Linked DNA regions of Oryzias latipes. The protein of the gene in region 1 binds, or shares a complex with, the protein of each later gene. Links are inferred from orthologs where the notes say so. Each region holds a gene or a part of one and is shown in the gene's direction. Other genes may lie near its edges. The genes, in order: lrp6 and sost.

Region 1 (3,806 bases):
TAGACTTAAACTGCTTTCCAAATAAATGACCAGGAATAAAATCCATGAACTAAAGTGCATCTAAAAGTAAAACATCTTTGTGAACAACACGTGTCTGTGTCGGTATCCTCGTACGCTGGGGACCGAACTGCCATCAAACAAAACAGAAGAAGAAGAAAACGAGCACATGGTGGGGCAGGCCAGCCCTGGTAACTGCACATGTGCAGTAAGGACCGAGCCTGACTTTGTGACATTTTAGTTTCTGTTTCCTGGCCAACGCTGAGATTGCTAAGATCTGAGGAGAGGGTCTGTGAAATGCTCCCAGCAGGAGGGGCCGTGTAACATGGGGGGGGTCTGTGTCTGCAGCCGAGTGACGTGGGGGGGTCTGTGTCTGCAGCCGAGTGACGTGGGGGGGTCTGTGTCTGCAGCCGAGTGACGTGGGGGGGGTCTGTGTCTGCAGCCGAGTGACGTGGGGGGGTCTGTGTCTGCAGCCGTGTAACGTGGGGGGGTCTGTGTCTGCAGCCGAGTGACGTGGGGGGGTCTGTGTCTGCAGCCGAGTGACGTGGGGGGGGTCTGTGTCTGCAGCCGAGTGACGTGGGGGGGTCTGTGTCTGCAGCCGAGTGACGTGGGGGGGTCTGTGTCTGCAGCCGAGTGACGTGGGGGGGTCTGTGTCTGCAGCCGAGTGACGTGGGGGGGTCTGTGTCTGCAGCCGAGTGATGTGGGGGGGGGTCTGTGTCTGCAGCCGAGTGATGTGGGGGGGTCTGTGTCTGCAGCCGAGTGACGTGGGGGGGTCTGTGTCTGCAGCCGAGTGATGTGGGGGGGGGTCTGTGTCTGCAGCCGAGTGATGTGGGGGGGGTCTGTGTCTGCAGCCGAGTGACATGGGGGGGTCTGTGTCTGCAGCCGAGTGACGTGGGGGGGGGTCTGTGTCTGCAGCCGAGTGACGTGGGGGGGGGTCTGTGTCTGCAGCCGAGTGACGTGGGGGGGTCTGTGTCTGCAGCCGAGTGACGTGGGGGGGGTCTGTGTCTGCAGCCGAGTGACGTGGGGGGGTCTGTGTCTGCAGCCGAGTGACGTGGGGGGGGTCTGTGTCTGCAGCCGAGTGACGTGGGGGGGTCTGTGTCTGCAGCCGAGTGATGTGGGGGGGGTCTGTGTCTGCAGCCGAGTGATGTGGGGGGGGTCTGTGTCTGCAGCCGAGTGACGTGGGGGGGTCTGTGTCTGCAGCCGAGTGACGTGGGGGGGTCTGTGTCTGCAGCCGAGTGACGTGGGGGGGTCTGTGTCTGCAGCCGAGTGACGTGGGGGGGTCTGTGTCTGCAGCCGAGTGACGTGGGGGGGTCTGTGTCTGCAGCCGAGTGACGTGGGGGGGTCTGTGTCTGCAGCCGAGTGATGTGGGGGGGGTCTGTGTCTGCAGCCGAGTGATGTGGGGGGGGTCTGTGTCTGCAGCGGTCAACAGTCCCTGCTCCCGGGACAATGGCGGATGCTCCCACCTGTGCCTGCTGGCGCCGTCCAGCCCCTTCTTCCGGTGCGCCTGTCCCACCGGCGTGCAGCTGCTGGAGGACGGGAGGACCTGCAGAGACGGTGAGGGGGGGTCATCTTCTCTGTGTGTGTGGGGGGGTCGATTGAAATGTTTGTGCTAATCGTTTGACCCACAGGTTGTTTGTGGTTTCATGGATGTTCTGCTACTGGGTTCTGTTTGACCCAAACTCTCATTTGGGTCAAAGGCTGAAACATTTGTGTTTAAATCTCCACATTTGGAGCGTTTTCTTGTTGACAGCTGACCTCCTCCTCTTCCTCTGCCGCCTCCTTGTCGCCGTCCTCCTCCACCTCCCCAGGTGCGACCCAGATGCTGCTGCTGGCTCGGCGGACCGACCTGCGGCAGATCTCTCTGGACACGCCAGACTTTACGGACGTGGTGCTGCAGGTGGAAGACATCCGTCACGCCATCGCCATCGACTACGACCCCGTGGAGGGTTACCTGTACTGGACGGATGACGATGTGAAGGCCATCCGTCGCTCGCGGCTGGACGGCAGCGACGCCCAGTTTATCGTCACGTCTCAGGTGAGCCATCCTGACGGCATCGCGGTGGACTGGATCGCCCGGAACCTGTACTGGACCGACACCGGGACCGACCGCATCGAGGTGACTCGTCTTAACGGCACCATGCGCAAGATCTTGATCTCCGAGGACCTGGACGAGCCCAGAGCCATCGTTCTGGACCCTGTGGCTGGGTGAGTCCAAGACTTGGATGGGGTCTGGCTTTGATGTGGGTCAGAGTTTTACTGTCGGCGATGAAGCAGGGCAGATGTTCTCCTTTAGGTCAGATGGTGAACAACCAAAGTGTTTCGTCGTTTGGAGGGACATTTTAAAGCAAAACCAGTTTCAATGATGTGAGGATCTGAGGCAGCCCGGTTCTGTGTCACAGATACATGTACTGGACCGACTGGGGCGAGGTGCCGAAGATCGAGCGGGCCGATCTGGACGGGATGGAGCGGGTGGTGATGGTGAACACCTCCCTGGGCTGGCCCAACGGCCTCGCGCTCGACTACCACGAAGGGAGGATGTACTGGGGGGACGCCAAGACGGACAAGATCGAGGTGAGACGTCGCTCTGCCGGCCCGCTCAGGTCCAGGTAACGCCCACGCTGGCTCTCACACCTGAGGGTGAGACAGAAATGAAGGACGGGTGTGGAGTTCTGAGAGAGAAACAACTAAACAGGTTCTAGTAGCTGGGAACGCTGCTCAGGCCTCAGGAAGTTCTGAAGGTTTTTGGAACGCTTCTCCGATCCCTGGGTTCTCCGATCCCTGGGTTCTCCGACCCCTGTTCTCCGATCCCTGGGTTCTCCGATCCCTGGGTTCTCCGATCCCTGGGTTCTCCGATCCCTGGGTTCTCCGATCCCTGGGTTCTCCGACCCCTGTTCTCCGACCCCTGGGTTCTCCGATCCCTGGGTTCTCCGATCCCTGGGTTCTCCGATCCCTGGGTTCTCTGATCCCTGGGTTCTCCGATCCCTGGGTTCTCTCCTCCGTCCTTCAAAAACCCGTTTCTCTTGTTTGCTCTCAAACGGTACAGAACAGTTTCAGTCCCAAACTGGAGCGGGTCAGCAGAGGTTCTGTCTGAATGTGGACCACGTCTATAGTGAGTCGGGTCTGACAGTTTGCTGCTCCTGGTTTTACCGCTCGGCTTCCCTCCGGGGGCTGCAGGGCCCCTTCTTTGGCCCCCGTCAGAGGGGCCTCTGCTGGCCTCCTCCCCCCTCTGTTCCTCAGCGGACCCAGTTCTCCTGGTGAAGGCCCACATCTGGTTCTGATTGCGGCGTGCGCTGCAGCTGCGGTGGGCCCTGTTTAGACCAGAATGTGAAAGCCGCCCTGCGGTCCGCGTCCAAACCAGCGGAGACCTTCTGGCTGAAGCTCCCGGGATGGAAACTGCGTCTTAGATTTACCCACCGCCTTCCTGATGCTTTCAGGGTGGGGGCGACCACACGGGGCCGTCCTGGCGGCAGCCAATGGCGCAGCTCCACGCGGCGCGGATGGGGAACGGGGGCCGTGCCGATTCCAGGCCTGGCTGGTCTCTTCTGCAGATTCCTGACATTTTTCATGGCTGGCTGTGCTTCAGCTCCGATCAGATCAGACCGCCAGCTCTGGGTCTGAGGCTGTCGCCCGCTGGAGCCCGATACCGTCAGGAATGCAGGTGTTTTCATTCCTGGCGTGTTCAGGTGATTACAGGGGACCGGGGTCACCAGGCCCCTCCCAGCACAGACGCGTTTTTGTCAGAGCGCCTCGCAACTTTTTCTGCCGCTGCTTCTCACTTCTGGAGATTTTCTCCAAGTGTTTTTGTGGAA
Region 2 (4,359 bases), on another chromosome or scaffold:
AGAGGTATCATTTATTGCTTGAAAGAGAGTGAAAGGAAGTAAATTATACAACCCCACTCTGATTATGTTTAACCTAACTTTTTCTTTTTTCTTTTTTACACAAGTTATCTTTATCCAGTTCTGAATTTCTGATATACCAAATTGCAGATCATTAAAAAAACCTTGAGCAATAATAAAATCAAATTACAAAATGATGTACATAATATTGATGTAAGAAGACATTACAGTATTTTAGAAATCACTAGGAGAAATAAGATCAATGTTGGAGAGCAAAGTATTTTTGAATATATACAGTTTTATGGGTCTTTAAAAAAACATTTTTTATTTTAGATTCTTATCGCTGAATGTGGCCTTAACAGTATCCAGGCTTCAGCGACCCTAAAAGGGGTTCAGCGGGTTAAAAAGATGGATGGGTCAGTGGATGTTTGTTCTTCTGGACAAAACGAAATAAGAACAACATCAACATGGGATTCTAACCATAAAAAAGGTTGGTGTTAACCAGATTTCCAGTGTATTACAGAGATTTTTCCGCTCACTTTTTGTTTTTGAACAGAGTATGATTCACTAACATATTAGCATTGTTTGTTTGATAAAATCAGGGAGGATTTTCCATAAACTCTGGCTTTCAAACTGAAGCCTAATTACTTTTCCTGTACTTCATGAACAGGAATTGGACCTGACACTTATGGAGTGGTTCCGAAGAGGGGGATTTCCTGTTGATTGATCCTAATCATTCATTACTAACATTACAAGCTGATTTTTGGCTCATCCTTTTGAGACAGAATTTAATCCATGACATGAATAAACTCAAACTTCCCTTTTTAAAAGTCAGAACTTTAGAACCTTATGATTGATCAAGTTTTGTCCTGGACTGCCTTGCAAAACAGCAGAGTGATGCTAACGAGCCTGAATGTCCTTCCCAAGGCTCTCCCTCAAGAGGGCAGTGTTTGAATGAGATAGCCTCCATCTGTCAGCAGGCATCACATCACAGGGGCGTGAGGGCTGCCAAGCAGCTTTAATTCACAAATTCCAAACAGATATGGAGATATAGAATATCAGATTCTCGTGAAAAGCCTCTGCTAAACTCAGATTTGGTAAACAGACACTTGGTGATGTATTTTCTATTCATGCAGACAGTCCTGATGATGCTGAGAGTCGCTGATGAAGGGTCATTCACACGTCATGAATAATTCATTTGAGTGTGGTCCTTTCCTCAAACATACAGGATCTGATTCCTACACCCCCTTTTCCCTCCCTAGGAAAGATGCCTTCAGAAAGTCGTCATAGTATAGTTGCTGCACCCCCCCCCCCCAACACTTATGTGCGCACTAATTGCGTCACTTGGATTAAGTCAGCTCTCCTCTCTGTCACTCCACCACAACTCTCGTTTCCACTCCTCTCACCTCCTCTTTTCATCTTCTCTGACCTTCATGGTCTCATTCCTTCACTCTTTTTCATGTCTACCTTCCTCTCTCCCCCCATTCACAATGAATCCCTCATCCAGGTTCGACTCCTCCCACTCCGTGTCAGCGCGTAATTGTGCGCTCTGACCGCAAAGTTGGCTTTAAATAGCGCGTCTCGCTTTGGAGAAGGACTCCTCCGTTCCTGCGCGTTCCTGTATTTTTGCTTTTATTTATTTACATTTTTCCCGTCTGCATTTTCTGTAAAAATTTACTCCTGTGTTGAGGTCCATCTGTGCCCCGACAAGCATGCAGGTGTTCGCGGCGCTGCTGCTCTGCAGCTCGGCGCTGCTGCTGCTGCAGGGATGCTGCGCAGCCGCCAAGGGATGGCGGGGAATCAGGAATGATGCTACCGAGCTTTTACCGGACTATGGGCAAAACACGGGCGCGCCGCACGAGGCCATTCTGCACGCAGCCAACAAGAACAACAACAACAGTAACAACACTTTGAATAACAGGGCGAAAAACGGTGGAAGGACTGCAAACACAGTTTCATATAGTAAGTGTCCTTTTAATATTTAAATATTACATCAATTACCTATTTGGGCAAACTTTGTAGAAAAATGTGGTGAAGATAAGCACATGGGTGATTACTAATCCAATCCGCAATTCTAAACAAATATTTTTCCTCTTAAAAGACAGATTTTTAACAAAACACTTTAAAAAACTACTTAAAGAAATTCAACTTTTTTAGTCTATCAAATCTCTAAATAACTGAATAAATATTTTTAAATTGATTGCCAGGATTAGACTCAAGGCTGTCCAGCAGACTGGCTTTTTGTCATTTCCAAATTCAACCTGCTTCCCTTTCAGTATAGGAGCTGATGTGTGTGAGAGTGTGTATTGTTAAATACACTGATGGGGGGGGGGGGGGGGGGGATGATCAGATGCACATTCTTGTGGTTCCTTCCCCAATTCTGTACCCCCCCCCCCCCCCCCCTTCCCAGGTTGTTTCCTTCTGTCTTTATACTATTAGTCAAGCCCTACTTACGCCATAACCATTTGATTGCAACAACATGTTTCCCAAAGCCCTGCAGTTTGCTGTCTTTTTTTTCGGGGGGGGGGGGGGGGGGGGGGTTGTCTTTAGGAGGGTTTTTTAAATAGCTTTTAAAGTACAATCATTTGAGAAGGATTCCCACCTTTGGACAGTATTCCCAGCATGTTATGATTGAGAAGGCCGGATAATGTGATTTAAGATGGGGGGGTGGGGTCATTTTTCCCCCCCTAACAAATAGTATGATTGATTATATTAACAGGAAAACTGATTTCACTAAAGTGAGAGCAATTCTTGAATTTCAAGATGAAAAGATGAGTTGATTTCAACAGGTTGTTGTTTAGGAATATGCAGCACATGTTGGGCTTGGTGGAGAAAAAGCTCTCAGATTATTTCCATCGTGTGGCTTTTGGTCGGGACAGCTCCTCCCTGATCTTTGTGGGGTCACAGCACAGGCTTTGAGACCACAGCCTGGCTTCACTCCAATCCTCTCCCTAGGCTCATCTTTCACTGCCGAGGGGGGTGGGAGAACAAAAATCCACTCACGCAACCGTACATCAGGCCGCCTTTGTTTGAGAGGAGAATAGCAACCGTGCGGTTGGAGAAAGGCGGTGATGTGACAAAACCACCTGACAGGTATTTGTTGCAAAGTGCTGCCAAGGGATCTTTTTTGAAACTGCTCTGGTCCTTGCAGCAGTCGATGGAGAAAAACACCAGATCATATTCTACTGGTTAGAAAAAACCCAACAAAAAACAGGAAAGTCACCTCACATCCATCCTTTGTTCGGGTCTTTATTTTTGGCAAGGAAGGCCACAAAGGAAAACAGATCCCTTTCTGAGTGTGTCATTTCTTAACCAACAATTCCTCCTTTTTATTTTGTGCACACAGCCTGTAAAGAAACACTAGGCAGTGATTCCTGCCTGTTGAAAATGCAGGATTACAAGCTGAGTGTCTCCAATCTGCCGGGCTGATGTCCAAGTTGTGCTGCTCTAAAACAACCAGACTGTCATTTAGTCCTCCGTCACCGCAAACACTTCCTGAGGTCCGGTGCAGGATGCCAGCTTTTTCATCCAAGCCAAACCTCAGTTTGCTTTGATTGGTGTGTTTAATGGCCTTCTGGTCTGGATTTGTTATTTGCTTATTGCTGCCAGTTGCCCTTCTTTATCAAGTAAAAATGATTTGAGTCAAATAGACCTGATTTTGTTTGTTTATTTGTCGATATTTCAGGTCTGGATTTCAGTTGAATGTGTTGGATTTTTTTTTTTTTTTCAGTTGATAGAAATAGAACCGGACAAATGACTGGAAGGAGACCCAGCTGCTGTAAAGAAGCAGTTGACCCACAGATTGATGGTCCCCCTCTGTGTTTCTTTTGGGTTCAGTCCATGTGCATTAACTGCGCTCTCTCCCCCCCCCAGGTGCTTCAGAGCTGAGCTGCAGGGAGCTGCGCTCCACCCGCTACATTACCGACGGATCCTGCCGCAGCGCCAAGCCTGTCAAGGAGCTGGTGTGCTCGGGTCAGTGCCTTCCCGCTTACCTCATGCCGAACTCAATCATCCGTGGAAAGTGGTGGAGGAGCAGCGCTTCAGATTACCGCTGTGTCCCGGCGCACTCCCGCGCACGGAGGGTCCAGCTGCAGTGTCCCAACGGCAACACTCGGACTTACAAAATCCGGGTGGTGACCTCCTGTAAGTGCAAGCGCTTCAGGCCTCACCACAACCAATCGGAAGCCAAGGAGCTGCCAAAGACGCAACGCAACAAGAAGCCCGGCCGCTTGGCTAAAGATCGGAGCAAGAATAGTACTCCACTCACGGGAAACTCGTACTGAACTGAGCAGAGACCAAAGAACTCCGACACACGTCACCCACGATAAATCTCCTTTTCACAAGGAGGGGTGAAAGAGAAAA

Evidence for each region.
Region 2: the proteins of lrp6 (region 1) and sost are in contact, whole or in part, in a crystal structure (PDB 6L6R), measured with the Homo sapiens proteins. The link is inferred for Oryzias latipes from reciprocal best matches to the Homo sapiens genes LRP6 and SOST. Residues at the interface, in NP_001401174.1 of Homo sapiens: Arg28, Asp52, Val70, Ser71, Glu73, Leu95, Ser96, Asp98, Glu115, Arg141, Trp157, Trp183, Asn185, Ala201, His226, Phe228, Trp242, Met269, Arg336, His361, Asp379, His404, Asp406, Thr422, Glu447, Arg449, Trp465, Trp491, Asn493, His534; in NP_079513.1 of Homo sapiens: Leu115, Pro116, Asn117, Ala118, Ile119, Gly120, Arg121, Arg169, Thr171, Arg172, His174, Asn175, Gln176, Ser177.

Annotation. Positions count from the first base shown.
Region 1 is NC_019881.2:23,647,190-23,650,995, reverse strand, and holds part of lrp6 (low-density lipoprotein receptor-related protein 6), read left to right. Parts: intron 1-1,416; coding exon 1,417-1,551; intron 1,552-1,805; coding exon 1,806-2,202; intron 2,203-2,396; coding exon 2,397-2,568; intron 2,569-3,806. UniProt on the Homo sapiens protein: Component of the Wnt-Fzd-LRP5-LRP6 complex that triggers beta-catenin signaling through inducing aggregation of receptor-ligand complexes into ribosome-sized signalosomes.
Region 2 is NC_019877.2:17,915,497-17,919,855, forward strand, and holds the start of sost (sclerostin), read left to right. Parts: upstream 1-1,379; 5' UTR 1,380-1,709; coding exon 1,710-1,959; intron 1,960-3,870; coding exon 3,871-4,280; 3' UTR 4,281-4,359. UniProt on the Homo sapiens protein: Negative regulator of bone growth that acts through inhibition of Wnt signaling and bone formation.